Elephas maximus indicus: one gene and its partners. The protein of the gene in region 3 purifies or fractionates together with the protein of the main gene of each other region. This does not show direct contact. Links are inferred from orthologs where the notes say so. Each region holds a gene or a part of one and is shown on either strand. Other genes may lie near its edges.

The links.
Region 1: the proteins of SNRPB2 (region 3) and SF3B6 purify together in Homo sapiens (affinity purification with mass spectrometry; 4 studies listed by BioGRID and IntAct, with this or other methods). This does not show direct contact. The link is inferred for Elephas maximus indicus from reciprocal best matches to the Homo sapiens genes SNRPB2 and SF3B6.
Region 2: the proteins of SNRPB2 (region 3) and PHF5A purify together in Homo sapiens (affinity purification with mass spectrometry; 4 studies listed by BioGRID and IntAct, with this or other methods). This does not show direct contact. The link is inferred for Elephas maximus indicus from reciprocal best matches to the Homo sapiens genes SNRPB2 and PHF5A.
Region 4: the proteins of SNRPB2 (region 3) and RBM17 purify together in Homo sapiens (affinity purification with mass spectrometry; 3 studies listed by BioGRID and IntAct, with this or other methods). This does not show direct contact. The link is inferred for Elephas maximus indicus from reciprocal best matches to the Homo sapiens genes SNRPB2 and RBM17.

The regions. Positions count from the first base shown.
Region 1 is NC_064830.1:41,616,456-41,624,123, forward strand, and holds the start of SF3B6 (splicing factor 3B subunit 6), read right to left. Parts: upstream 3,007-7,668; 5' UTR 2,799-3,006; coding exon 2,769-2,798; intron 141-2,768; coding exon 22-140; intron 1-21.
Region 2 is NC_064822.1:185,615,931-185,622,950, reverse strand, and holds the start of PHF5A (PHD finger-like domain-containing protein 5A), read left to right. Parts: upstream 1-4,011; 5' UTR 4,012-4,094; exon of another isoform or gene 4,095-4,203; 5' UTR 4,204-4,287; coding exon 4,288-4,345; intron 4,346-4,351; exon of another isoform or gene 4,352-4,394; coding exon of another isoform or gene 4,395-4,446; intron 4,447-4,803; coding exon 4,804-4,884; intron 4,885-5,593; coding exon 5,594-5,760; intron 5,761-7,020.
Region 3 is NC_064843.1:57,035,825-57,043,705, forward strand, and holds the start of SNRPB2 (U2 small nuclear ribonucleoprotein B''), read left to right. Parts: upstream 1-4,867; 5' UTR 4,868-4,947; intron 4,948-6,394; exon of another isoform or gene 6,395-6,510; intron 6,511-7,294; 5' UTR 7,295-7,320; coding exon 7,321-7,384; intron 7,385-7,881. UniProt on the Homo sapiens protein: Involved in pre-mRNA splicing as component of the spliceosome. Associated with sn-RNP U2, where it contributes to the binding of stem loop IV of U2 snRNA.
Region 4 is NC_064822.1:52,636,072-52,643,601, forward strand, and holds the start of RBM17 (splicing factor 45), read right to left. Parts: upstream 3,001-7,530; 5' UTR 2,913-3,000; exon of another isoform or gene 2,776-2,912; intron 1-2,775. UniProt on the Homo sapiens protein: Splice factor that binds to the single-stranded 3'AG at the exon/intron border and promotes its utilization in the second catalytic step. Involved in the regulation of alternative splicing and the utilization of cryptic splice sites.

The DNA of each region.
Region 1 (7,668 bases), on a different chromosome or scaffold from region 3:
AAAAATATCAGTAAGACTCACACTCTGATTTGACGAATAGGTCCATATTTTCCAAATATATCATACATTTCTTCAGCTGTGATTTTGTATGGCAAATTTCTTATATACAAAATCCGATTTACTTCAGGCGGAAGTCGAATCTAAAATGAGAAATATATGTTGTCGTTATAATCAGGCAGGAGTGCTACCATTTAGAAAAAATTCTAATACATAATAGTGAAAAGCCAAGAGTAAGAATTATTATCTGATGTAAATGACATGCTCTTCAGAAAAGCAACTGGATGATGGTTCCAGAGAAGACCATTAGTAGGAACTAATACGGGCCTGCGATAAAACAAGACTTTTGATCACTATAGTTAAATACGGACTTTCAACCACATCTAAAAGTCCTTAACACCTCCGACTACATGTGGGAAAGAAAGAAAGGAGCTGTTCCTGTTTGCTAGACAATAAAATCCCCACTGATGTGTGTTCTATGGTCTTCTCAGGGGCTTGTATCACTGATGTCTTCTCTTATGAATTTACAACCTTTCCCTCACCACTAGCTTCTTCTTGTCCTCCCAATAAGCAGTTGCTCACATCCTGCCCATCTTTTCACAAAACAAACAATTTATCTAGATCCCTCTTCCTTCAACCAACAATATTTACTAAGCACCTTCTTATACACCAGGTTAGGTATTGGGAATACATAGTGAAAATATATACAAGGGGCTCCCTGCGGGCTTTTAACCGCATTGCTCAATCCTCATCATACTTAGCCTGAGACTTCTAACACCGTTGATTAGTTCCTTCTTGCAACAATCCATTTTCTTGGTTTTCTCCTAACACTCTAGCTAGGTCTTCTCAGCCTTCTTTACCATTAAAATATGCTCTTGCACAGGGCTGTATCTTTAGAGTTCTTTTCTTGATCCTTTGTATACGCCCCTTAACTCTTTACATTCTCTCTGACTGGCCTCTTAACCACACCCGTGGTTTCCACAGTAAGTTGATGACCCTGGAATACGTAACTCCAGTCTAGATCTCACTCTTATGCTCCTGATTAACATAAATTAGATACTGAACATTAATTTACTCAATAGCTATTCAGTTATTTTTATATTAAAAGACAGTTATAAATAGTAATGACAACTGGTGAACAAGTACAATAAAGTTTTAGAGACCATAATTCAAGGTTAAGTTCAAATAGACAATCAATGCTGCCAGACAACCGAAATATATTTCTCTGGTAAATTTGCTTTCTTAGTTTGTAAGACACTATATCAAAAATATCTTCTGTCTTCAACCTTATTATCACCACTCCAACACCTTTGTTGGGCTGTATCCTTTTCCCTGCCCGTCCAAGGAGATGACCCTGGCTCTTACTTCTTGGACAAAATGGATATGACCAAGTGGTAAGTACCTTATAGTCCTATCACTAAACCTACCAATCTACATTCATCCATATCCACCTATGTTCCCTCTCTCTATACTTGGAAGAAAGGCCTGGCCACCTACTTCCAAAGGATCAAAGCCAGTGAAAACGCTACAGGGGGCAGTTCTACTCTGAAATGCATAGGGTCACCCTGAATCAAAATCAACACGAAGGCAATTAGTTTGGTTTTTTGGGTTGTTACTATGCCAACCCTTCATCTACTCAAAAGCAGATGAGTACATCTACACGACTCCTGAAATCAACACATCTTTTTGTACATTATCGGCTTCTTCCACTTTACCAGATCATTCCCATTGGAATGATCACACAATACACTTTATATTGCTCAACTTTTTTTTTTTAATCACTAAACTCAATTTCCTACTCCTTGTTTACATGAAAACTCATGAAAAGAGATTTCCTCAACTTCCATCATCTTTTCATCCCACTACAACCAAGTTTTCATCCACCATTACACTGAAACAACTCATCAGTGTCACCAAAATTTTCCATCTCACCATAGCCATATCCAGAGCCCTGGTGGAGCAGTAGTTAAAGAACTTGGCTGCTATCCAAAAGGTCAGCATTTCAAATCCACCAGGCACCCTTTGGAATCCTATTGGGTTGCTATGAATTGGGATTGACTCGATGGCAACGGGCTTGGTTTTCGGTTAATAGCCCTATCCAGGGTTCAATTACCTGTCATCATATTATGCGTCTCAGCACCACTATCTCCTTCTTGAGACATTTTTCTTTAAGTTTCCATAACATCTCACTCTCTAATGCTAGAATGTAAGCACCTATAGGACAAGGATTTTTTGTTTTATTCACTGCTGAATAAAAGTGATTACCTAGATTAGTAGCTGGCACGTAGGAGGTGCAATAAATGTAACTAAGGAATTGTTCCCTCCCTGGCACACAGCAAGTGCTCAATAAATACTGTTGAATCAATAAGTTAATGAAGGACCCAAAAAACCCTATGATCTGAAGAGAATCTTAAGTTTTAGTCGCCTGTGGACCATTATTTATTGGGGACTCGTCTATGCTATCAATTTTTAGGCTGAGGAGGAGATTCTGATGCCAGGCCCTAAATACAGGTCAAGCAACAAATTCTGTAGGGCTAGCACTGTCACTAACACTAAGATACTTTAGGAACTTTCAAAAGGGGTGTGGGCGGAATTGTGGCTCAATGAGCATACCCCTGAGGACCGGGACAGCGTGGAATCCCCACGGATAGGACAGGAAAATTTGGGTTTCCCCGCCCAGGGGACACAGGAGTAAGCATGCTCTGTGCACGCCTCTAAGAAAGTCAAACAGCGAAGTCCGCCCCTCCTCCGCAGAAGGCCCCGCTACTCACGTTCGCCCTCTTGGCCGCTTGCATCGCCATCTTGGCAGGCTGATGAAGTCACCGTAGTTAAGACTGGAATCCTCCGGACACCTCTGGAGCTCGCTCTACTTCGAGCGCAACAGTGTCAAACGCAGGCCATCAACAACCAGCCTCCACCGGAAGCTGCTGAAACAACGCTAGAAAATCGCCGTTTCACGTCGAGACGTGCTGACGTACTACCGGTCCTCTTCCGAGAAGACTCCGGGAGCAAAGCGAGCCTGAGATAAATGTGAGGCCGGAAGGTGAAAGAAGACAGTCGAAGATGCTTCCGGGTCCTGGGCCGGAAAGGGCGGGGCCTCAGCTCAAGAAGGGAAGGTGTTCCGGTCGGGGGGGGGACCTAAGCAGTGCGAGCTGACCGGAGGTGGCGGGGCACGGGGATGGCGGTGAGGGGTGATGCGGAGACTGGTTGGGTCGAGGAAAGGGGACCGAGTTTGGCGAGAAGCTCCGGGCTGCGGGACGTGGGTAGCCAGGTGCAGGAGAACTCGTGGATGAGCCTGGGCTTCTGGCAGTGCGCGAGACGGAGTTCACAGGTTCTGGCGGGTAGTGTCGAGGCTGACTGTGTAACCTAGTTCCGGACCTCCAGCCCTCCGTAGTGCCTTCCCCAAGTTGAGCCTCGGCGGGACTGGCCTCTCAGAGCTTTAGTGAGGGTAACGAGCGCCCAGGGGCAGTCTCTGAATTGCCCCTGCCCCCCGCCCCTGCCCCGCCAATTCCAGCCCCCAGGGGCAATCTCTGAATTGCGCCCCCCCCCCCCCAATTTCAAGATGAACAGATAGCGACGATGCGTCAGCGGAAACGCTTTTCCCGGTCCTTTGTCCGGCTGTCTCAGGCTCCTTCATGTTTGTAGCGCCCAGGGGTGCCTTGTCTGATGCCCTCTTGGACTTGCGTCTGGGGGCAAGTGCCCTCTCTGCGTCTCCCCCCCCCCCCACCACACCTCTGTGGCCTCTTCCTGTAATCCCCCTGTCAGTCATCCCAGCTCCCACCTCACCCGGCCAGTCAGCGCTAGTTTGCGAGCTGGGGTCGCCAGTGAGCACACCACACTTCAACTCCACCCTCTTTGTTTCTTAACGCCAGCTTAACATGGGTCAGTTGAAAAGGTCGAGAAGGGGCAGTGTTTTAGGGTGGGTCTGGGAATAGCACCCGAACTCTTGCCTGTGAATTTTCTCCAAGTTTACTCTGAGAAGGCCTAGGGTGGAGTGTCCTGTACCCTGTGCCTTCACTGGGGCAGCTTCATGACGATTTTGCCCATGTTCTTGTCAGTCTCCGTGTACACATGGGCCTCTTGGATTTCCATCAACAGGTAGACTCTATCCAGAAGTGGCAATAGACGTTGGGGGTCCTTCGTGGAGAAGTGAGGCAGAGCTCGTTCCGTGGAAGCCTTCACCAGCATTTGCTTATACTAAGATATGGAAAAGGAATCCGTCAGCCTGGACTGAGACCTTACCCTGCCGCTTCCCATACTTTTTGATCTCTCTGAAACGGGTACACACCTGAAAAAGCACACAGGGGTACCCTCTTCACTTCCTAGCGTGTGTGCGCCGGCCCCCAAATGCGTAACCTCTGTTCTGTACCAGATAAGGACTGAAGCTCCGAGTGAAATACTACTGTCAATAATGGCCATTGACCCGAAACCCCGGTGGCATAGCCGTTAAGTGCTACGGCTGCTAACCATAAGGGTCAGCAGTCCTTGGAAACTCTATAGGGCAGTTATACTCTTTCCTATAGGATCATTATGAGTCGGAATCGACTTGATGGCACCGGGTTTGGTTTTGGTTTTGGGGTCAATAATGGCCAGAGGGCTGTTTCTAAATAAAAGCTTCAAGCGAGAGGCAGCCACAGATAGGACTTATATAGGCTCTGTGCAAAAGGGATGTTTGAGCTCCTTTCCTCCAACGGTTGTGGAACCCATATTGGGAAACTTTCCCGAAGTTGGTGCCTGCTAGAATGCCACACAGACTTCTGTAACATGTATTACTTTCTTAGTACACTGAGGAGAGTGCCTTTGGAAACAAAATCTTGGAACTATTAGAAGTACTTCCTAATATGCTAAATACTTTGTTCATTTTGTTAGAAAGTTTATGTATGAAGCATTAGCCACCCTTTTTCCCAGATGTTGAGGTTTCTGTTGACCAACCCTAATTGGTTCTCTGAAATCAGGGTACATATATACCCAGGGGGGCAGGTTTCTACATAAACTCCCTAACCTAAGATGTGACAAAGCTTCCTTTCTCACACTTTTATGTAAATGAAACCATGTGTTTTCTTTCACACATCACGTACCTATTTGTCTATATTTTAGCAGACTGGTGATTAGGCTTCCTCCTTTAAAAAGTAGCTTGGATAACAGAGGCCCATTGATGTTAGCTACTCGCATCAGACCATGGAGAACCATCAACAGCCAGGCAGTTGACATTCTTCTCCCAGTGAGATCCGCCTACACAGTCTAGAATAAGGTTGGCTCCAGCACGTTTCACATGAAACAGATTTGTAATGCCAGTCAGACCCAGAAAACTTGGTGTAAAATAAGACTCCATGGTATATTTATGGGTTCTTAGGTGCCATGGAGTTGGTTCCAACTCACAGCCACCCTAAATTTGTGGATCCAACCCACCACTGCCTTTGAGTTGATTCCGATTCATAGCGACCATATAGGACGGAGTAGAACTGCCCCATAGAGTTTCCAAGGAGCGCCTGGTGGATTTGAAAGTTTGTGGATATATGGGTATAAATTAAGTACAGGTGCAAGTGGTAAATTTATAGGTTGGAACTAGCAACATTGCTCATGGAAACATTGTTATAAATGTAGTTTAAGTAGCTGAACTCTATTATGGCATGTGTGAATAGTTCATCTTTTATGATCCCCTAGTCATAAGAGAGCAGCAAGAAGGAAACGAGCTGAAACCATGACTTGGTGTCTCCTGTTACCACCACTTAAGTACAGTGTGCACTGGCACCCAGGTATAAGTGAGAACAGAACAGGGGAGGTCTACCCAGGCTACAGGGCAGGTTAGTTGTTCATATCTAAGTTACAAAGTATCTGCACTGGATTTTCTACTCATATGAAAAACTGAAAGGGATGAGCCAAAAACATACATGTTTGGCTTTGTAATGCAGACGCATGCACAACCCTATTACCCCAACCCTACTAGCTCCAGATCCAAACAGTGCCTCAAGCCTGGTATTAACTCACTATGGAGTGGCTGGTTGGGAAGAAGAGGTTTTGGAAAATTCCAAGTCAACTCTTGATAATTATCCAGCTTCTAAAACGTGTATGAATTATATCATTTGCAGGAATGCATATGGAAATGATCTCAGTCCTAAATACCAACTGCCTGTCCCCAGTGGTCAAACCCCAGAGTACTAGAGTTTGACCAGGCCAGCTGTTGTGCATTTAGCAGAGTCCTGGCAACCTTGAAGCTGGTGAGGATTTATTTAATCATCTCTGACATTCCTGCTGAGCTGCAGAAGCAGTTGTTTACCTTTGGTGAATTTCAGTGTTGCTTCACAAAAGTCCTCTTCTTTGTAATCGAATCCAGCAGCTGCTCCAAGCTTTTCTGCCATTCGAAGCTTGTGCTGTGAGCCAGCCATGACCAGAAGAATAGCTCCAGCCATCTGGGTGAGTTGGATGGCAGCTGTGCCCACACCACTTGACCCCACATGGATTAGCACAAACTGTCTGGCCTGAACATTTCCTATGACAGTAAGTACAGGAATAATTCTCTTTATTTTGCAACTGCTACACATTCACACATTCCCCACACAGGCACACTCTACCATGATGACCTGGCCCCAGGACCACCAAATGCCGAATCTCTTAAACCCTCTTAACTTCCTTTTTGTCTATATAGGCAGTTCTTTTTTGTTGTATTGCCTCTATTCAAAGTGGAAAACAACCTTTTAAAACAGTTATTAGATGCTATATCCATAATCTCTGTTTTACCTATGAAATAACGCCAAAATGCACATCTCTGCTGTATACGTCAACAAGAGTGAATAACCACCATTCATTCTTCCTGTGACCTCCTCTAGCTGCTTTCACGCACCCATTTATCTCCTTACCACCACAAGGAGCACAGCCAGCCACCAGGCTCCTCCTAATATGGGGCTTTCGTTATGTCACTTCCTGCTCAGAATGTAAGGTGGTTCACCACTGGCTTCTTCATCAAGTCCAGACAGCCTGGCATTCAAAGCCACCACAGTCTGGCACCAGACTCATCTCTCACAAGTGACAGTAGTCAGCCCTCACCCCTGAGCAGAGCAGCCCATCTCACCTTGACGCTCTGTCTTGGGTCACCCCTGATGTTCGGCATACCTTCTATCCATCACAACTCTACCCCTCAAGTCCTGCTGTTTTGGGAAGCCTTCTCTGACTATCCTTGCCTACGTCGACTTTCCCATCTTGAGCTTCTGTTGTTGTTGGAAACAGCACCACACTTGGTAACTCTATGGTTGTCTAATTGTTTCCTGTGAAATTCCCGTGTCTATATCTTGTCTTCCTAGTTACATTGAGCTCCCTAAAGGCAGGAGCGAAGTCTCTTTAGGCTCCCTCATGTGAACTCGTGGCTGGCCTCAGCAGGCTTGGGGAGGAATAAATGAGTTGACAGAATGGCACCTTCTTCTGTACTTGGGCTCTCAGAGAAGCTCAGCTGATTTTTAGAACCTGGAACTACTGCTGGGCCTGCGTTGTGAAGGTGTGCACATGGCTTCTGTCAAGTGCTTTACAGGTGTTCTATCTGCTAACCATGATTTTCAGCTTCAACATCAAGCCGTTGCTAACATGGTTTGAGAACCTGACAGTACTGGTGGTACAATAGGGTGAGGTGCTGGTTCTTGGTGTGGGTAGGTGCCCAGGCCAAAGCTGCCCTGGAGGACT
Region 2 (7,020 bases), on a different chromosome or scaffold from region 3:
TTCAACCCAGAGAGCACCATTCTCAGGTTATGAGCATGAATGGTGCCCTGGTCAACAGGCTGTCTTAATGTCAAAGGGAAGGAGTATAGTACATTTGCTAGGATCTTGAGCTTTGGAACCAGAAAGGTGCAGATTCGAATCACATCTGCTAGCAACTAGTGATAAGGCCCTAGGCAAGATAACAAGCATATACCACTTGCTAGGAACCATGCAGGATTCTAATTAATCTGTAACAACAATATGATTAAAAAAAAACAGTTGCTGTTGAGTCAATTTTGACTCATGGTGACCCTGTATCTGTCAGAGTGTGCTCCATAGGGCCTTCAAGGGCCGATTTTTCAGGAGTAGATTGTCAGGCCCTTCTTCCAAGGAGCCTCTCAGTAAATTTCAACCTCCAACCTTTCAGTTAGCAACCAAGTACATTTACCGTCTACACCACCCAGGGATGCCATAATATGATCATTGAGAATTAAATAAGATAGATGTACTATTATTATCCATATCTTACAGGCAAGGAAACAGTCACAAAGAGGTAAAGGAATATGCCAAGGTCATAGCTAGTGAACATTACAGCCAGGGTTCTAATCCAGGCAGCCTGATGCCAGTCCATGCTCTTCACTATCATTACACTATGCTTCCTCTCTAATCCGCAATTTCTTCATCTGTAAAACAAAGCTAACAGGTCTGCCTTATCTCGCAAGGTCATGTGAGATTAATGGCAAACAGTAAGCTAAATGTTAGCTACTCTGAGTGGTAGTAGTTAGTCATCATTCTATTATCTACATTCACCTTTGGTCTAGCCAAGGGCAGAAAAATAATATTTTGGCTGAGAAACATCTCCGAGACCCTCTGCTGTAGGGTATATTAGAATATAGTGGAAGCTCCATGAGAACAGGCATTGTCTGCTTGGCTCACCACTGAATCTGCAGCAAGCAGTGGGAGCTCAATAAATGTGTGGTGAATGAAGAAGGAATGAATTGAATGCATGGACAGGGTTCTGCCAAGACATGGTAACTTAGGTAGAAAGCATCACCTCTCAAGTGTAGCTCAACACAAAAGAGGTAAATTCACAAGGTTCTCAGAGAATGATGTTAGCTAGCTATTACTTAAGACAGCCTGGCTACAGGAGGCAGGGTGGTACAATGCAAAGTGGAATAACACAGATGCAAATTCTGCTCATTCATTTTAGCTGAATGGACAAGGCGACCTGGATTTTAATCCTGGTTCTGCCATAGAGTAACTGGACTATTACTGGAAGTCACTCAGGTTTCTCAAGGTCTTGGATTCTATGACGATCGTAAACAAATACATTCTACTTGCTCATCACTTTATAGACAATCTGAAAAGAAGATTATCAGGTACTCAGTAAATGTTTCTTCAGTGAAGGTCATCCTCAAATGACAGATGATAAAACTGGGATTCAGGAAGTAACTTGTTCAAGGTCACAGGGCCAGGGTAGAACATGAACTTTCTACACAAGGTTAACATTCATGTTTTCCAAGATTGCTTTCAGTTCTAAAACATTGTTAATATACCTCTGCAGTGCAATTAATTACTTTTGGGTGTTGCCTTTCTAGCCATGGTCTTATAACTCCTACCCAGGTGACTGGGTAGGACTGTGTGATAGGGTAATTGTGGCCCACCAAGAGGACTGGTCAGTTTTGCCTTAAAAGAGACCCAACTCCAGAGCAGGGAGGAGGATCTTAACACCTTCAAGGAAGGACAGCCAGGAGTGGAGAGCAGGTCCTTTGGCCGGGATCCCTGCACTGAGAAGCTCCTGGAAGCAGGAGAGCGAGCTGTAACCCTGAAGATGGTGAGAAGCAGTGGCAGCAGAGATGTGGCAGCAGGAGACAGCATGTGGGCCACTGAGAGAGAAAGCTGAGTGCCTTTGGGGAGAGGCCGAGGGTCAAGAAGAGGTGAGCCTGCAACCACAGCTGGGGAGAAGCTGTCCTATGGGAAAAACTGTATCCTGAGTGTTCTGGAGCCTGAATTGTAACTGTTACTTCCCTAACCAGCTGCCAGGGAGTTGATTCCAACTCCTGATAAACTCCTTAGTCCTGAGTATGGTCTGTGAGTTCTGTGTGGCCACTGCAATGAATTATAGAACCCAGGAAAGAAGTAGAGAGCGCTGTGCGAAGGATGACTGGTGTCCGAATTGTTAAAGATGATAGAGCAGGCTTGTCTGGCCTCCACCTCTAGCCTTGCACTGTTGATCTTGGTTCTCCTTCCCCCTTGTGGGGCTGGAGGTCAGACGCCATCCTCATGCCATTTTTAAAAACTCTTTTCCATGCTCAATAAATTTGTAATCATTTATCTTATCAAGTAATCTTGCCTGACTGCAATACATCATGGTAAAACAGGAGTTGTACAACTATTTTCACATCATCAACCTAGAGAATCAAAAGACCTTAAGAGATAATGAAGTGCATATCCCTTGCTTTTGCCCAAACTGTGAGAAGTATTTTATAATACTTAAACCACAGTCTAAACTTAACCAATGTGATGAAAAATAACTTCTAGTACCGCAACGCTTCCTGAAAGTACAGCACACAACTTTCCAATTCTATAATCAAAGTTGCGCCACTTGATTCAAAAGTATTCACAAAGTTAAACATAAAAGGTTGCAGAGAATGTCTACGAGTGCTTTCTTCCTTTATTTTTATTAACAAAATACTCCCCTGACATTGAACCTTTGAGTATAACACCTTCCTAAAGATTGTCAGGGGCCCTAGTGGCACAGCGGTTAAGCATTTGGCTACTAACCAAAAGGTCCGTAGCTGGAATCCACCAACAGCTCCTTGGAAACCCTATGGGACAGTTCTACTCTGTCCTACAGGGTCGCTATGAGTCAGAATCGACTTGAGGTAACTGGGCTTTTTTTTTTTTTTTAAGGATTGTCAAGTTAGGTAGGGGTAAAAAAACATTTGGCAGTCACAGTTACAGTCAACTTTCTAGACGGTTCACAAAGGGAGAGTCAAGGTCAAACTGTTGAGCCTCATTACCCTCCCATATGTTACTGTAAAAGGAACTAATTGTGAGCACAAAATACTCCATTCTATTATTCTTCAAAATACAAATGTTAAGTCCAGCATCACGCCTTTTCTCAGTCTGTGAGGGCTGGCTGACGTGGAATTAGACCAGAGGGGTAGGAGGGCAGATGTCAGGACACAGCACTACAGTGACAGTGACACTCTTGAAACTTTTGCCTACTTCCTAGCACTTTCGCCACCTATCAAAATGAGAATAATCATCTCGCTAGACATGACTCAAATGATATGATGAGGAATTAAGTCTTGAAATCACGGGCAAACGTGAGATACTGCTATTGTCACTATTATTTACTACGTCGGGCAAGAAAGATCCCCCGCGCACTCTTGGCTGTGAGTTCCGCAGGGTCCTCAAAGGACGGAATAGTGTACTGGGCGAACTGGCTAGGAAGTCTCTGAGACTGAGATAGGAAGTGAGCCCTTCAGGCACTGGGCCTAACGGGCTCTACAACGACCGCACCCCCCCCCCCAGTCACCTTGTCCTCACCTTGAGGAACGGAAAGAAACCCTACGAGAACTGGCAGTGCGGTCCTCAGGAAGGAGAAAGAGGAGCCTGCACTCTCCATTCGGCCGCCGCTGCTTGTGCTTATACTTTACCGGGGGCGGGGAAAGGGCTGCGGCAGCTAACAGAGCCTGGGACGCCTTGACCTCGGGCGTCAGAGAGGCGGGCACAGACACTGGGCCCACGGCCGGGACACTACACGAAAAGTCTGCCCGAGGTCGGGCCCGCCTCGCCCACGGCCGCAAGCACAGCAGGAGGCACCCCGCCCCCGTGAACCCTGAGGGCCCTGAGCTCGCTCACCTGCAGCCGGGTCACTAGTAGGCTGTAAGGCGCCATTTTGTGCACTGACAAAGATGAGGTCGCGTGAAAGTGACGTGCCAGACGACAACTTTAAAGACTTAGGCAGGGGGCGTGGCCTGACGAGAACACAGCGCGGTGGGGCGGGGCCTCCCTAAAGGCGCCCGAGCCCAGCGAACGTAGACGGCAGAGCCGCAGTGTTAGGAACGGGCACGTGAGAAGAGAAAACGCTCGTAAAAACAGTTACGGTAATTAAATGCCTGTACAAAGATGTTTTATCGAAAAACAAATTTCGGCTATATCTTCCATCAAAATCTGGGAAAGGTATTCATTTTAGGACTTTCGCGCTCCTGCCAGGACTTACTTCCGCAGCAACCACAGAAGCTCTTCTTGGAACGTAGTGGCTTTGATCTCGCGAGGGGGAGCGCGGCTTAGTGCCTGATGGAAGTCTCCAGGACCAGTCATAACGACCAGGAGGCAGGAACAATGCGGGTCAAAGGTCGGGCGGAAGTTCCGGAAGCTTCCGGTGGCAAGTTTGAGTGGGAGCTATGGCTAAACACCACCCGGACTTGATTTTTTGCCGCAAGCAGGCTGGAGTTGGTGAGGCGGCGGCCTGCCCCCGGCTGTCTGGGTGGTGGTGGTGTTAGGCGCTGGGAGGTTGGGAGTTCTCATCACTTCTCTAGGGCTTTGTCTCGGAGCCGCCACGTTTCCCACCTCACGGTCGCGGGGTAGTGTAGGAGCGCGCGGGAGGGAAAGAGCGGGGCGCGCGGGCTGTGAGCCAGAGGTGGGCAGCAAGGGTGGGGTCCCTGGGACAGGGTTCCGAGAACGGCTGTCGCAGGTTGCCCCTGATCCCAAGAAGGGATCGTGACTGTAGGTTTGGTTCGGATGGAGGTCTACGAGGATAAGATGACTGTCCGTTAGAGTTCACTGTAGTCCCTGTCATTGTCCCCACTCCAGCCCTCTTCGTCAGAACCCTAATTCTAATGGTGCTCTATATCTTCTTTGCTCTTGCAGCCATCGGAAGACTGTGTGAAAAATGTGAGTGGAACGCGTCTTCCCAGCCCCCCCACCCCTCCCACTCAGTGGAGTCAGGGAAAGGGTATTTCCAGCGGTGCCACAAAGAGGACTTTGAGTAGATGGGACTGGAAGCATGTGGACACGGGATCCCAGGCAGCAACCATAGACCCTTTCCACCTCCCCACTCTGACTGGCACATTTTAAACAGTGCATTTAGGTTTTGCAGAAATCTCTAGCTTGAGATACGAAGAATCGCCAGAGTAGCATGACCCCCAACCTAACATACACAGGTCTTTTTGCTGCAGTTATGTAGAGCTATCATCTACCAAAAGTTGGTAGTTCGAATCCACCAGCTGCTCCTTGGAAACACTATGAGTCAGGATTCTGAGAAGCACTATCTCAGGTTGCCCCAGACCTGAGAGGGGCTTCAGGAAGGGATTGTGACTGTTCTGTCCTATAAGGTCACCACGAGTGGTAATCAACTTGGCAGTAGTGGGTTTGGTCTTTTTGGTTTATCTACAAGGGGCTGTGCTATGCTCTTTATGTATGTTAATGTTTTGTAAGTGTTAAGGGGATTGAGATGGATACTGGGTAATGGCAAAGTAGAGGAAGGGCCCTAAACTCACTGTCCAAAAGAAACTAGTACACCACCCATAGCTGAAGGAGGGCAAAGCACTTGGGAGAGGAAGTACTTGCAGGTGAGCATAACTCCATTCACTTTTCTTCACAGGCGATGGCAAGTGTGTGATCTGTGACTCCTATGTGCGTCCCTGTACCCTGGTGCGCATATGTGATGAGTGTAATTATGGCTCTTACCAAGGGCGCTGTGTGATCTGTGGAGGCCCCGGAGTCTCCGATGCCTATTACTGTAAGGAATGCACCATCCAGGAGAAGGATGTGAGTGTTCACAAAGCTTTCTACCTGACCCTTCCTTTTATTTAGTAACGCTTTGCCATCCACAGCAAATTTTTATGGTCTGCAGAGATGACTATGTTCAGCTAATCACCTAAGTTATCATTTTTTCAAGCTCTGTGAGCCAAACTGGGTGTAGCTCAATAAAAGGCAAGAGAAGTGCAGAGAAGCAACTCTTTGTCAACACCTGCAATTTGGAGAGCCCTGTCTCTATTCCTTTGATGTCTCCCTGTGGTGGTTGTTACCCAGAAACAACATCCTGCATTTGTAAGTCCTAACACAGGCCATATTGTATAAAAGCCACTCAGCATATCTCTTGCTTCTGCTATCCTTAAGGGCTGTTTGGGTGGATATGGTGACAAAGTTGAGTTTGGGACAACTTGAGCTGGTTTCAGCTTTAAGCAGCTAAAGAATGCCTTTGGTTTAATGTTGCAGCATTGATTGTGGTTCTGCCTCATGATATTTTTGTTCCCTGGCATTGTGTAGTCGCAGTGGCTAGTTACTAATGTTCAACTCCCTGAGCCAAATGGCAGGAGAGAGGGCTTATAGATCAGCACCAAAGACAAATTTTACCGTTTTTCTTTAGATTAGTACTGGCAGCAGGCCCCCTGGGTTGTGGGGGAACCCGTGAGTCAGTTAACTTGTTTTCTCAGAACACTTTTTTAATTTATATTTTCCACATCTATTCCGTGTTTGTTCTGCATCATCCATGCACATCGTCTATTCCACGTCTGTTAAAGGTAAATTCCACCACTATTCTACATCTATTCTGCATATGTTCCACATCATCTGTTCTTAGGACACTTTAAAAGGAAGTATGTTACAGTCCCATTGGACTAATAGAGGGGACCTGCTTACCTAGTAGGAACCCTTGTGGCACAGTGGTTAAGTGCTTGGCTGCTAACCAGAAGGTTGGCGGTTGGAATCCACCAGCCACTCCATGGGAGAAAGATAAGACAGTCTGCTTCTGTAAAGATTTACAGCCTTGGAAACCCTATGGGGCAGGTCTGCTCTGTCCTGTGGGGTCACTATGGGTCAGAATTGACTCGACAGCAATGAGATGTTTTTTTGGTTTGGTTACCTAGTGTAGGATAAGACAAAAGGTAAATATTCTTCATGTTTTGGTAAACTTACAGTGGGTACTTTATTAATGTTATTGCCCTTATTCCACACACTATGTCAAATGGGTGTCATTATTATCATTCCCATTTTACAGTCCCCCACCCAGCTAATAAGTGGCAAGCC
Region 3 (7,881 bases):
TCTTTTATGTCTTGTAAGATAAAAGGTGGTGCATGCAACACCCCAGGGAAACTCCCTTTACATTACACCAGGGATGTGCCCTGAGCAAGGGTGTTACAATACCACCCTAATCTTCTTTAACATAAAATTATAATCACAAAATGGAGGACAAGCAGAAAATACTGGGAATCATGGCCCAGCCAAATTGATACATGTTTCGGGGGGAACATAATTCAATCCATGACATATAGGGAAGAGGTATACGCATAGACCTCTCTGAATGGGCTAAGGAAGTAAAAATATTTGTGTCTCATGTGAATGCTTACCAAAGGGTGACCTTAGCAGAGGAGGATTTTAACAATCAAGTGGATAGAACGACACATTCCATGGAAACCACTCATTTTCTTTCCCCAGCTACTCCTGTCATTGCTCAATGTGGTCATAAACAAAGTGGCCATGGTGGCAGGGATGGAGGTTATGCGTGGGCCTGGCAACATGGACTTCCACTCACCAAGGCCGACTTGGCTACAGCCAATGCTGAGTGCCCAATCTGCCAGCAGCAGAGACCAACACTGTGTCCTTGATATGGCACCATCCCTTGAGGTGATCAGCCAGCAACCTGGTGGCTAGTTGATTACATTGGACCACTTCCATCATGGAAAGGACAGCATTTTGTTCTTACTGGAATAGACACTTACTCTGGGTATCAATTTGTCTTCCGTGCATGTGATGCTTCTGTCAAAACTACCATCTGTGGACTTACAGAATGCCTTATCCACTGTCTTGGTATCCCACACAGCATTGCTTTGGATCAAGGAACTCACTTCACAGCAAATGAAGGGTGGCAATGGGCCCATGCTCATGGAATTCACTGGTCTTACCATGTTCCCCATCATTCTGAAGTGGCTGGCTTGATAGAACAATGGAATGGCCTAAAGACACAATACGGTGCCAGCTGGGTGGCAATACCTTGCAGGGTTGGGTCATCGTTCTCCAGGAGGCTGTATATGCCCTAAACCAGCATCTGATATATGTTGCTGTATTTCACATAGCCAGGATTCATGGGCCCAGGAACCAAGGGGTAGAAATGGGAGTGGCACCACTGGCTATTACTCCTAATGACTCATTCACGAGATTTTTGCTTCCTGTCCCTGCAACCCTATCCTCTGCAGGTCTAGAGGTCTAGGGGTCTTAGTTCCCTAGGGAGGAATGCTCCCACCTGAAGACACATCATTGAATCCATTGAACTGGAAACTAAAAATACCACTTGGTCACTTTGGGTTCCTTATGCCTCTGGATCAACAGGCAAAGAAGGGGTTATTGATCCTGATTACAAGAAGAAGTCAGATTAATATTACAGAACGGAGGTAAAGAAGAGTATGTCTGGAATGCAGAAGACCCTTTAGGTCGTCTCTTAGTACTACCATGCCCTGTGATTAAAGTCAACGGAAAAGTACAGTAACCCAATTCCAACATGACTACTAATGGCCCCGACCCTTCAGGTATGAAGGTTTGAGTCACCCCACCAGGCAAAGAATCACGACCCAGCTGAGGTGCTTGCAGAGGGCAAAGGGAATACTGGATGGATGAAGGAAGAATGTAGTTCTAAATATCAGTTAAGGCCACATGACCAGTTGCAGAAACAAGGACTGTAATTGTTATGAGTATTTCTGCTTTGTAAGTGTGCATCAAATATTTTTGTTTTCTTCACTTATAAAATATAAGATGTAAACAGGGCTATCACATTTTTGGTTGTATATGTGTCTTCTGTATCATGTTAGGCCCAAGTATGACCTTATAATTGTCTTTATTCAGAGATTACATACGGTTTAAGGAGATGTGTACAGGTGCCGAGTTGACAGGGGTGGACTGTGATGGTTAAGATTGTGTGTCAACTTGGATGTGGCACGATTCTCAGTGTTTTGGCAGTCATATAATGTTGAGATCACTTCCCTGTTGATAACTGATACATCATCACCCCCATGATGGGAAATGCTGTGAGTAGCCAATCAGTTGAAGGGGAGTTTCCCTGGGTGTGTGGCCTGTATTGAGTGTGGGTGGACATTCGGGCAGGACTCAGGGGCTTTTGCTCGTTCTGGATCCTGCAGCTAGCTTCTGTTCATCTGACCTCCAGTTCGTGGGACTTGAGCTAGCAGTTTACCTGCAGACTTGCCTACCGATCTTGGGATTCATGGATCTGTACAGCCTGTGAGTAACAACTCTGCTCCCTGGCTGCTGATCTTGGGTTTACCAGCTCCTGCAGCTATGTGAATCAAGAGAAACCTCTTTCCTGACCCAGGGACTTGGACTTAGGACGTTACAGCCTCTACAACCACAAGCCATTTCCTTGATATAAATTTCTGACCCTGTCTATATATATGCTTTACTGGTTTTGCTTCTCTAGAGTACACAGGCTAAGATAACCATCTTCATTATCATCAGGTAGAATTATTAATAATTAATTGCTCAGATGCCCATACTAATGTACAGGGCAACTTGTTCTTTGTTATTTAAAATTTTTTTTCATGTTTATTTTATATTCTCTTTTAATTTGTTAGGGATACACCATAAGTCTTTAACTGAGCTAGAACTATTTACATTTCTTCTAATTTGAATATCTACATAATAAAAAATGTTTTTATGTGATTGTTTAACATTACTTCCTACACTTATGTGCATCGTCATAAGACTGCATTTGTTTTAGTGTTTGTCTAATTTTCCATCAAATTTCAGATTTTTTAGTTACTGAAGTACATGAGTGAACAAAACAGACAAAAATCTTCACCCTTGGGAAGGTTACAGTCTAGTGGAGATTATTTCATAACTGTCTAATGATTTCCACGTTGTTTCAACTTGAGAAACGAAGTTTTAATCCTCCTGGAATCCAGATTTCTGGGCTCCACGGAGGTAGGGTGACCTAGCCAGGCCATTGCCCCGAGACGTTCTTTTGAACCTTGAGGAAACTGGTTTCTTAAAGTCACCTTTAAGCCAAACAAGTCTAGTAAACAGCTTAGTAAAGATTGTTTTGCCTTGGACATTGTGCTCTTTTGAGGAATTATTCATATGCAGTCAGTTTCAAGAAACAGAAACTCTGAAGGTCACCCTAGAGTTATGTTTTAGGGTATATCAGTAATTACTTCAATTATTCAAGACAATGCTGTATTAATTCCTTCCTGACCATAATTTTTCTTTTTTAATCGGTTTTGTTATAGCCCATTTTCCATGGCAATGTCGATAAGATGGGGTATAAGAATCTTGGAGGTTCTCTCCTCTCAGGAACATTTTTGACTCCCTAGTTCAAATGTTACTGCAATTTGTGAATTGTATATTAAATAAACTTCAATCAGTTTCTATTATTGACTTAATACAAATTTTGTTCTAACAGACTTTAGGTGCCCTTTTTGAAATAAAAATCCCCAGCTGATAGAACCAGCTGTCCTCCTTCATCCCTGTGTCCAAGTCATAGCCAGCATTTAAGAAATAACATTTGTGAACCATTTATTTTGTACCTGGAAATGTGCTAATGGTTTTATATTTAGCTCATTTAACCCTCACGGTAATTCCAGAAGAGTTACTATTGTGAACCCTTTTACAAATAAGGAAAGTGAGGTTCCAGGAGCTTAGGTAAGGGGAGGATGGGGGAATAGATTTCCCAATCTTAGCTCATAATAACCATCTCATATTTCAGTAGTTGATACTTAACACACATTTGTTGAATGGATGCATAAACAAATATATTTTTGTTTGTGAATTCCTATTCGGCTTAGCATAAACACTACCTACCTGAATTACTCAAAAAAAAAAAATCTAGGTATTTTCGTGGGGCAGGGAGAAGGTGGAAAGGGTAGTAATAAATTTTTTTTGAATGAGTTTAGCAGATATCTCATGAGTTTTGGTTATAACTCAAATGTGGTTGTCTTAGTCATCTAGTGCTGCTATAACAGAAATACCACAACTGGATGGCTTTAACGAAGAGAAATTTATTTCCTTACAGTAAAGTAGACTAAAAGTCCAAATTCAGGGTGTCAGCTCCAGGGATGACTTTCTCTCTCTGTTTCTCTGGAGGAAGGTCCTTGTCCTCAATCTTCCCATAGTCGAGGAGCTTCTCAGGTGCAGGGACCCTGGGTCCAAAGGACAAGGTCTGCTCCTGGTGCTGCTTTCTTGGGGGGTACGTCCCCAATTCTCTGCTTGCTTCCCTTTTCTATCTCAAGAGATTGCCTCAAGACACAATCTAATCCCTAAAACAACTGCCACCCATCCTCCCTTATTAACATCACAGAGGCAGGATTTATAACATATAGGAAAATCACACAATACCAGGAATCATGGCCCAGCCCAACTGATACACACATTTTTGGGGAGATATAATTCAATCCATGACAGTGGTTATCATAACTGGGGAGATGACCAGAGAGACATCAATTCACTTAACCTGGGCTGCCTCTGACATTCAAGCTCATCAGTAGATTGCTGGAGGAGAGTTTCCTCAGAGTCCTAGGAATCAAAAGCGACTTTATTTATTTATTTATTTGGTATGTTAAACCCGGGGCCACCAGACCCAGAAATGGGAGACCATAGCACCTGCCCCATAAGCGGCATGAGAGGCTATGCCTGGAAAATTATACAGGACTTCGGGAGCTGGAAGGCACCGGACTGAGGTTTTAACTCAAGGTCATCGTGGGGGTAATGAGTGACGACCCTGCCGTTGTCCCCTTACTCAGTGGTCGGGTTTAACTTTGCACGATCCCGACAAAACCCGTCCCTTTCCTTACTCCCCTTTCCCGCCCCTTCTCCCCGCCCACCACGTAGGCGCAGGCGCAGAGAGATTCCCAGCAGTCGCCGCGAGGCATCGATCGACTCTGTGCTCGACTTCTCGACTAGCCGGCGCCCTATTGCGGCGCGTGGTAGCGTTGCTTCCGGTGCCTGGCTGTGTTTCCGACTTCCGGTTCAAAGCGGAGGAGGCCTGCGGTAGGTCGGAGCGCTTACTCTCTGGCTGTTTTGGTTTTTATGGGCCGTTTGTCCGCCTCTCCGCTGTCGGAGCCCGGAGAGGACGAGGCGCGGTGGTGCGCCGGGCACATCGGGCCCGGGGTTGGTCAGCGGTGGGCTGAGTGACGCGCTGGCCCGGCGGGCCTCGGATCTTAGGGGCGCTGTCCCTAGCGGGACCGGATGGGAGCGCGGATTCCGCGCCTGTGGGCTTCGGGCCGGGGCCTTGGGGGTGCGTGCCTGTGTCGGGAGTGCAGTCTGGAGGGACGCCAGACTCCTGCTTAACAAACAAGTAACCGATGCTAAGTCCCAGCCTCCCCTCCCCGCCCCTTGTGGAGCCCTGCCGGCGCGATGGTTAACGGTTCGGCTGCGGGAACCCACTAGCAGCTTCATGGGAAAAAAAGACCTGGAGATCGTGCTCCCATAAAGGCTGTTGTCGTGTGGCGCGGAGCCGATTCTGCCTCGTAATGACACTATAGGACAGGGTAGAATTGCCTCCTAGGCTTTCCAAGGCTGTAAAGGTTTAGGAAGCCGACTGCCGCCATCTTTATCCCTTGGAATGGCTGGTGGGTACTAACCCCCGACCTTTCGGTTGGCAGCCGAGCGCTTAACCGCTGCGCCGCTAGGGCACCTCCAGGTAAAGATGACAGCGTAGGAAACCCTATGGGGCAGTCCAGCGCTGTCCTGTATGGTCGCTGTGAGTCGGAATCAACTCCAAGGCACACAGAAACAGTGCTCCTTTGCTCCTGTGAGGTGTTTACAATTCCCTGTGAGCTTTCAAGTGACTTTTAGCGGTTCCCTTTTGGATTGGGGAGGTGATTCTGGGAACCTCTGTGCTGGTTCAGGCGTCCATCACACCACGCAGGAGATGTTGCAAGAGCCCCCCATTTGATCTCCCCGCCGTCAGTTAGACCTCTGTTTCTGTCACTTCCCTCTTCTTTGCGACCCCATCCCTTCTCCAGATCGCAGGTAAAGCAAGTTTGAGTAGCATTACCGTTTACCCGCACAAGTTCTGTCCCTGTCAGCAGCCCCGTCCTTTGTCAGTGATCTGTGCTGTTCACATACAGTGGGTGCTCCATAGATGTTTGTGAAAGAGGCAGTATGTGAGATTACCCAAGGAGATAAAGCAAGTTCACGATTGGCCACTAAAAAGCTACACACACCGTGAAACAGTGTGGTGGTGTCCGAGAAGTGCAAGAGAAGATACAGGGCTGAATTCCCAGGCCTGCTGCCACGTGTCCTTAGGCAAAGACCTTGACCTGTAAGAAACCAGTTGCCCTCCAGTAGATTCTGACTCAAGACAACCCTATGTGTGTCAGGGTAGAACTGCGCTCCCTTGGGTTTTCAGCGACAAATTTTCCGGAAGTCAGTCTCCAGGCCTTTCTTCCAAGGTGCTTCTGAGTGGACTCCGATCTTTTGGCTAGCCGCCAAGCTGTTAGCTATCTGAACCACCCAGGGACCGTCACCTGCGATAGCGATGAAGAGTCGCTGGTTCAGGGGCTTACTGCTGTTGGACGTTCTCGCGTTTAGCCTGCGGAGTTCTCTTGGGTAGGTGCTGTTACAGTTGTTGCTGTGGAGTTGGCTTTGACTCCTGGCGACCTTCATCCCCATTTTATAGATGTGGACCCTGAGGCTTGAGAAATTAAGGAACTTGACTCCCCCGTCAGTCAGCAGCTCGTGAAGAGCATGGCCACTGTTTGGATTTAGGTCTGGCCAGTGCCAGCATCTGAGTGCCTTTTCACCTTGCGGTCCTGTACCGCTCTGTCTGAGCTGCATTCCTTCACACTGGCTGGGGACGACCGTGGGGTCAGGACGTGTGGCGGTGGTGTGTATCAGTGAATAGGTGTCCCAGTGCTTTTTAAGTGTTCTCATGAAGCAGTGCTTGGCAAACTTCACTAATGTTCTATCTTCATGATTTTTAGTGGACGTACCTTTGCTAGTATCTTTTTCATTTTTCTTAAGATCTACTCAATTTTTCAGTAATTTCATTAATAAAAAGCTGTTTCACTAGGTAAATGGAAAAACAGTATCACTTACTATAAGTAAAAGGTAAATATAAAAGTAAGTGCATTGAACAAAATAATGCTATTAAATTCTGACTAAGTGCTAGTATTTGACCAAGGTTTTGAGCCTGAGAACTCTTCTTTTGTTTAAAAAGGAGAACTAGCAAGTGTTGGACAGGTGTTAAAGACTGCTGCCAAACTGACATTTTCTTGGAGTCAGGATTGAAAGAGAATTGAGAGGTTAATAAGCCTTGTGTTGTATCCTTATGCCACACTGGGCTGTGATTTCATTCTCCCAGTTTATAACACAATATGTACTTTCTCTTTAGGCTGTTTGAACAATTTAATCTAAAACATGGATATCAGACCAAATCATACAATTTATATCAACAATATGAATGACAAAATTAAAAAAGAGGGTAAGTGCTTTAAATATATACACATATTAGTTCACAACTAAAGTGTGTTTACCCAGTACTATCTTAAAAAAATTGAACTGCCCCAAAACTTCTCCTCCAGGCATTTCTCAGTGCCTGCAATAATGGTTTGCTCGTTTTTGTGTAACGATTTAAAGTTTTTTAAATAAAATGAAAATATGTAGGGACTAAAAGTGTGTGGTGGAAACCCTGGTGGTGTAGTGGTTAAGTGCTACAGCTGCTAACCGAAAGGTTGGCGGTTCGAATCCACCAGGTGCTCCTTGGAAACTCTGTGGGGCAGTTCTACTCTGTCCTATAGGGTCGCTATAAGTCGGAATCAACTCGACGGCAATAGGTTTGGTTTGGTTTTTTTTTTTTTTTTGGACAGTGTGCAGAGTCTGTTTTCACTCATACTGGTATTGTGGTTTCCAGTAACTTTTTAAATTACATGACCAACAAATAGCATGCTGTGTTTTTACTGAAATATGTAACTGTGTATG
Region 4 (7,530 bases), on a different chromosome or scaffold from region 3:
TGTTCTGTGCGACCATTTACACAATGGCCCTGCCCTCCAGACTCTAGGTATTGGCCACACTCAAAGGATTCTGAGTGGAAGCCCCTCAGCCCTGGGCTTCAGCTCTGCTTTCCAGGCTTACTGGAATGGCAACTCCACTCTGTCGGCTTTAGTTTTCCTAGTCCATTTGAGTGGCAACTCCACCCCCTCAAACTCCAAACTCAAACTCCAAAGGCCATGGCTCCACCGTTAGAGACCCCAGAGGTCATGGCCATGCCCTTTGAGACTGAGGCAGCTCTGCTTTTAGTGTTCCTTGTTTCTTCAGCTTCTGCTTCCTTGTCCTCTTGGCCCTTTGGGCCTCACCACCCGCATATGCCCTGCTGGAGCAGGTGTTCCAGAGCTCTGAAGCTCCACCGATAAGCACCTGGAGGCAACCCACCCCACCAGTAAACTTCCACTGGAAGGCACTCAGCTCTCTTGCTCAGTGGGTCAGCAAGCCTAGCTCCACCAATAAGTGCTCAGAGGCACCTCACTCCACCAGGAAGCCTCCTGTGCAAACACACTCAGTTCTCTCGCTCTGTGGGTCAGGTCCAGCACCATGTGGTGCTGGTTTTCTGGTTCTGCTGCTGCCAGTCCTTTGCTGTCTGTGCCAACCCCAATGTAACAGCTTTCCTCATTTCCTTCTGAGTCCTCTATCCACTCAGTTTTAAAATTGCTTCCACATTTTAGGTATCTGTTAAAGCAGCACCCCACTCTTGGTATCAAATTCAGTCTTGGTCATCAAGAGCCGCTATAACAGAAATACCACAAGTAGATGGCTTTAGCAAAGAAAATTTTATTCTCAGTCTAGTAGGCTGGGAGTCCAAATTCAGGGTGTCAGCTCCAGGGAAAGGCTTTCTCTTCTCTATCAGCTCTGGTGGAAGGTCCTTGTTATAAATCTTCCCCTGGTCTAGGAGCTAGGGTGCAGTGCAGGGACACCCTTGTCACAGTTTAATATTTACATTCATTCTCAAAGACTCTACTTCCACAATGCCATACACTGGAGTGTGTTACAAACAAACTTCACTTGAATTTAGGTATAAAACAGAACATCCTTCACAATTAACTACTATGAAAGGCTTGAGGGATTACTAGACCTGAATCATCTGTTCCCTGCCAGGGGAGGTCTGAAGAATTCACATTCGGCAAAAACTAAGAAAGTAATTTAAAACAACCAGCTAAAAAGAAACACAGTTAATAAAATCACATCTAGGAGTGCGTAACAATTCTCTCAAAATTCTTTATTTTTCCATAAAAGCTATCTTTAGTAACCACTGAACTCCACAGTCAGACGAGCTCTTCACTGCTAATACTTGTACCTTGTTACATTATCTATCACACAACCTACTCTTTCTAAACTCTAAAAATAAAACACGCTCAATTTAAGTTATTAATTGTCCTCTATTCCCTAAAAACCCTTATTATTACCCAAAATGCCTGCTGCCTTTATCCAGTAAAAATGTAGAAACTGAGATGCATCCTTTAAAATCTCCACCTGTTGTAGGAAGTCACAGAAGTCCTCATCCACCCATCTACTTGAGTATGTGCAGAATCTTGCACTTACCTAGAATATCCACCCATATGCCTAGTTTTTCCAATTAGTGCCTTCAATGCTTTCCCTTACTTTCTCCTCAAAGAACCTCTATGATCTGACCTAATTACCCTTCCAATTACTCTCCTCAAATGTTTCTCTTGAGCCTTACCTGCAGTTCCCAGAATACATTATGGTGCTTCACCTCTGCTACTTTTTCACTTATTTTCTCTGCAGGAAACTCTTCCTATACTTTGTATATCTAACAAAATATTATTTATTCTCTAAAACTCAGCATAAGCATCGCCTCCTCTTTAAAGCCTTTCCAAACCACACCTTAGTCCCTCATATCAACCCAAGCACAACCATGCCGGTTTCCCTAGAGACCAAACGCTTGAGTAGTGGCAAAATCTTACTCATGCTGCATCCACAGTTCACAACACGTTGTTGTCTGGACAGTTCACAACACGTTGTTCGGTGATTAAACATCACAACTAAAACACTCCTTTACAATGACAAGGAGTAAGGTAACACCGGAATCATGACTTCCTCCATCTGCCCAGGTAAGCTCCCATCTTTGAAAGATGCCAACACTTGGAATTCCCTGTTCTGAGACCAGGGATGGAAATGCCTTCTTTCCATTTAATTCCCTGAGCCCTGGAGCGATGCAAGTGAGCTGGGCCACAGGTGACATATTGTCCTGGCTGCTAGAAGCTAGTGGCTAAAAAAACTAGGGACCGATAAACTTTTTCTAAACATGGTCAACGAAAGAGAGGAACGTTCTTTAGTCCAAAAGAGATTGAAACAGACAGACAAGAAAGGGAAGGATGGGAAAAGAGGAGAAATGAGAGGCACTGGGTCACTAGAAGAAAATAAAGGAAAAGTGGCAGAGGTGCTGCGAGGAGTTGCAGAGTCAAGAGCGGGGCGGAGGAAGGCGATGAGAAATGCGGCGGACAGAGAAGGCCGGGGGCAGCACCTGGGCATGGGAGCCAGAGGCAAGGGGAGACCAACGCAAAAGATGCGAGAGAAAGTGCAGGGAGAGAGGAACCCGAAAGCGTTGGAGTATGAGACCGTCGGCAGCTCTAGACTGGCCCGGGTCAAAACCTTCCGCTCCCACCGCGGCGCGGCCTAAGCTGCGGCCTCACGTCCAGCTCTGTCTCGGGAAGGCGCTCCCGCCCCAGCTTCCGCGCCAGGCCGCCGGCGTGGCGGCGAAGGGGGTTACTTACCCGGCCCACCCGGCCGACTTTCCCCATGGGCCGGAGCGGCGGCAGCGCGGAGCCGCAGTCCGAGACGCGCAAGCTCCGTACCGAGCCCGGAAGCGCCGCGGAAAAGGGAGATTTGGACGCACTCTGCGTAAACCTACCGACGACCGGAGCCCACAGCTGGCGCCAACCCCTACGCCAAATCCGCAGGAGGTTCCGCGGCGCGGGGGTCAGAGAACGTGTACTGCCGGAAGAGAGGGGACGCCTACGCTGCTGGCTCCTCGCAGCAGTGCCCCCTGACGGTAGGAGGTCTGCACTGCAGACTCCCCTCCGTCGGCGTCTTTTTCTTCCACCAAAAGGTGTCGCCTTGGCGCAACCTTTGAAATTTCATAACTTTTTTTTTTTTTTTTGGAGAGGGTGACAGTGACCCCGGACGGTAAGAAGTAGAAATGGTCCAAGGTTGCAAAGATCTCAATGGGAACCAAATGTCTTCTAATAAGGGAGAGGGAGAGAGAATTCCTCCTGGCTCTTCATTTTAATTCATTGAAACCCATTCATTTATATACAAAAAGCTGAAAATAAATCCCTGGGCGAGATGAATGGGGAAACTGCAGCAGAGGAAATGGTAGTAAGCGTTGAAATGATTGAACTGTAAGGTTAAGAAAACAACAGATATGGAGAATAGGGTTACAGCAATGAATGTAAATGTTATAAACCTTCACAACTTAAAAATAATGTAACTAACAAAAGTTAGGAGGGGAAGTGAAAGTGGGACTTTGTGTAAATACGATCGTTTTTACAACTGAAATTGGAGGCCAAGAATATTTCAAACTGATAGAGATACCATTCTACTCCCATTAGGATGCCAAGATTGTTTTTGAAAAAGGAAAATAACAAGCATTGGAGGGGATGTGGAGAAATTGGAACCTCATCCAATGCTAGTGGGAATGCAAAATGGGACAACCCTCGTGGAAAACAATGTGGTGGTTCCTAAAAAAATCTAGAGGTAGAGCTTTCATATAATCCAGCAATTCCACTCCTAGGTATATACCCTAGGAATCTAATAGAAGTGGCACAAGCATATACATACCTATGTTCATCACAGTGCTATTCACAATAGCAAAAAGATGGAAACAATCTAAGTCCCTGTCAACAGATGAAAGGATAAGTAAGACGTGCTACATATATACAGTTGAATACTACTCAGTGATAAAAAAAAAAAAAATTAGTTCCCACAACATCTTGGAACATGGATGAACATGGAATACATTATGTTGAGCAAAAAAAGTCAACCACAAAAAAACAGATAATTGTATGTTCTCACTTCTATGAAATGACATGAACAAATAAATATACAGAGATTAGTGTTCATTAGCGGTTACCAGGGCTGGAGGGTTGGGGAAGCGGGGAATTCACTCTTTAGATAGTAGACACTTGTTATTTTGGGTGACGGGAAAGGTAACACCAAATGAAGGTGAATTGTACACAGTTTGACAAAGGAAAATGATGTCACTAAAAAGTACAAAAGAAAAAAGGACCTGTTGGTAACCCTATGTAGTTTTGGAAACCCTGGTGGCATAGTGGTTAAGTGCTATGGCTGCTAACCAAAAGGTTGGCAGTTCAAATCCACCCTGCGCTCCTTGGAAACTCTATGGGACAGTTCTACTCTGTCCTATAGGGTCGCTATGAGTCGGAATCGACTCCATGGCAAAGGGTAACAGTAACAGGTATGGAGTTTTGAAACAACAGCAAAAGCAACCAAAAAATACATGTAGGGGTGTACATGTATGTCGACATACATGTGTATAGGTACGCATACATGTGTGCATATGTAGGTGCCATGGCTTTGTGTCCCGCCCAAAATTCTGTCAACTTGGCTATGCCATGATTCCCAGTATTGTATGATTGTCCACCATTTTGTCATTTGATGTGATTTTCCTCTGTGTTGTAAATCCTATCCGTATGATGTTAATGAGATGGGATTATCAGCAGTTATCTTAATGAGGCAAGACTCAAACTACAAGTTTGTTTTGTGTCTTAAACCAATCTCTTTTGAGATATAAAAGAGAAAATGGAGCAGAGAGACATGGGGACCTCATACTACCAAGAAACAAGAGCCAGGAGAATAGCGCGTCCTTTGGACTTGCTGTCCCTGCACTGAGAAGCTCCTCTACCAGGGAAGATTGGTGACAAGGACCTTCCTCCAGAGTCAACAGAGAGAAAAAGCCTTCCCCTGGAGCTGGTGCCCTGAATTTGGACTTCTAGCCTGCTAGGCTATGAGAGAATAAATTTCTCTTTGTTAAAGCTATCTACTTGTGATATTTCTATTATAGCAGCACTAGATAACTGAGATAATAGGTGTATGCATATGTATATCTATATCCGGCTATGTGACGATACGTACATATATTCATATATATAATAAAACACATAGGTAGCACAGTTACACATACTTCTTATTAAAAAATCCAATACCGCTGCCGTCGAGTCAATTCCGACTCAAAGCAACCCTATAAGACAGAGTAGAACCGCTTCATAGAGTTTCCAAGGAGCCTCTGGTAGATTTGAACTGCTGACCTTTTAGTTAGCAGCCATAACTCTTTACCAGTACGCCACCAGGGCTTCCTACGCCACCAGGGTTTCCAGATACTTCTTGTTGTTATTGTTGTTAGGTTCTGTCAAGTCAGTTCCGACTCATAGCGACCCTATGCACAACAGAACAAAACACTGCCTGGTGCTGCGCCATGCTCACAATCATTGTTATGCTTGAGCCCATCGTTGCAGCCACTGTGTCAATCCACCTCGTTGAGGGTCTTCCTCTTTTCTGATGACCCTGTACTCTGCCAAGCATGATGTCCTTCTCCAGGGACTGATCCCTCCTGACAACATGTCCAAAGTATGTAAGATGCAGTCTCGCCATCCTTGCTTTTAAGGAGCATTCTGGTTGTACTTCTTCTAAGACAGAATTGTTTGTTCTTTTGGCAGTCCAGTATATTCAACATTCCTTGCCAACACCACAATTCAAAGGCGTCAACTCTTCTTCGGTCTTCCTTACTCATTGTCCAGCTTTCACATGCATATGATGCCATTGAAAATACCATGGCTTCAGTCAGGCGCACCTTAGTCTTCAGGGTGACATCTTTGCTCTTCAACACTTTCAAGAGGTCCTTTGCAGCAGATTTGCCCAATGCAATGCGTCTTTTGATTTCTTGACTGCTGCTTCCATGGGTGTTGATTGTGGATCCAAGTAAAATGAAGTCCTTGACAATTTCAATCTTTTCTCCATTTATCATGATGTTGCTTATTGGTCCAGTTGTGAGGATTTTTGTTTTCTTTATGTTGAGGTGTAATCCATACTGAAGGCTGGGGTCTTTGATCTTCATTAGTAAGCGCTTCAAGTCCTCTTCACTTTCAGCAAGCAAGGTAGTGTCATCTGCATAACGCAGGTTGTTAATGAGTCTTCCTCCAATCCTGATGCCCCATTTTTCTTCATATAGTCCAGCTTCTCGTATTATTTGTTCAGCATACAGATTAAATAGGTATGGTGAAAGAATACAACCCTGACGCACACCTTTCCTGACTTCGAACCAATCAGTATCCCCTTGTCAAAGGAGACTCTGAAACTTGCTCTTGCGCGTCAAGCAGCTAAAGCAAAAGGAAGAATTGATGAAGTAAAAGAACTGAACAGAAGATTTCAAAGGTCCTCTCAAGAAGACAAAATAAAGTATTATAATGACATGTGCAAAGAGCTGGAGATGGAAAACCAAAAGGGAAGAACACGCTCAGCGTTTCTCAAGCTGAAAGAAATGAAGAAAAAAATCAAGCCTCGAGTTGCAATAGTGGAGGATTCCATGAGGAAAATATTAAACAATGCAGGAAGCATCAAAAGAAGATGGAAGGAATACACAGAGTCATTATACCAAAAAGAATTAGTTGATATTCAACCATTTCAAGAGGTGGCATATGATCAGGAACCGATGGTACTGAAGGAAGAAGTCCAAGCTGCTCTGAAGGCATTGGCGAAAAACAAGGCTCCAGGAATTGATGGAATATCAATTGAGATGTTTCAACAAACAGATGCAGTGCTGGAGGTGCTCACTGGTCTATGCCAAGAAATACGGAAGACAGCTTCCTGGCCAACTGATTGGAAGAGATCCATATTTATGCCTCTTCCCGAGAAAGGTGATCCAACTGAATGTGGAAATTATAGAACAATATCATTAATATCACACACAATCAAAATTCTGCAGAAGATCATTCAAAAACGGCTGCCACAGTATATCCACAGGGAACTGCCAGAAATTCAGGCTGGTTTCAGAAGAGGACGTGTAACCAGGGATATCATCGCTGATGTCAGATGGATCCTGGCTGAAAGCAGAAAATACCAGAAGGATGTTTACCTGTGTTTTATTGATTATGCAAAGGCAATTGACTGTGTGGATCATAACAAACTATGGATAACACTGCGAAGAATGGGAATTCCAGAAGACTTAATTGTGCTCACGAGGAACCTTTACATCGACCAAGAGGCAGTTGTTTGGACAGAACAAGGGGATACTGATTGGTTTAAAGTCAGGAGATACTCCTTAGATATAACCAGACACTTTGTAAGATTGGATATCTGGGTTTGAATGATTAGGACTGTAGTCTTGTGGGACATCTTGGTCAATTGGCATAATACAGTTCATAAAGTTATGTTCTACCTCCTGTTTTGGTGAGTAGTGCCTGGGGTCTTAAAAGCTTGTGAGCAGCCATCTAAGATACAAATATTGGTCTGTA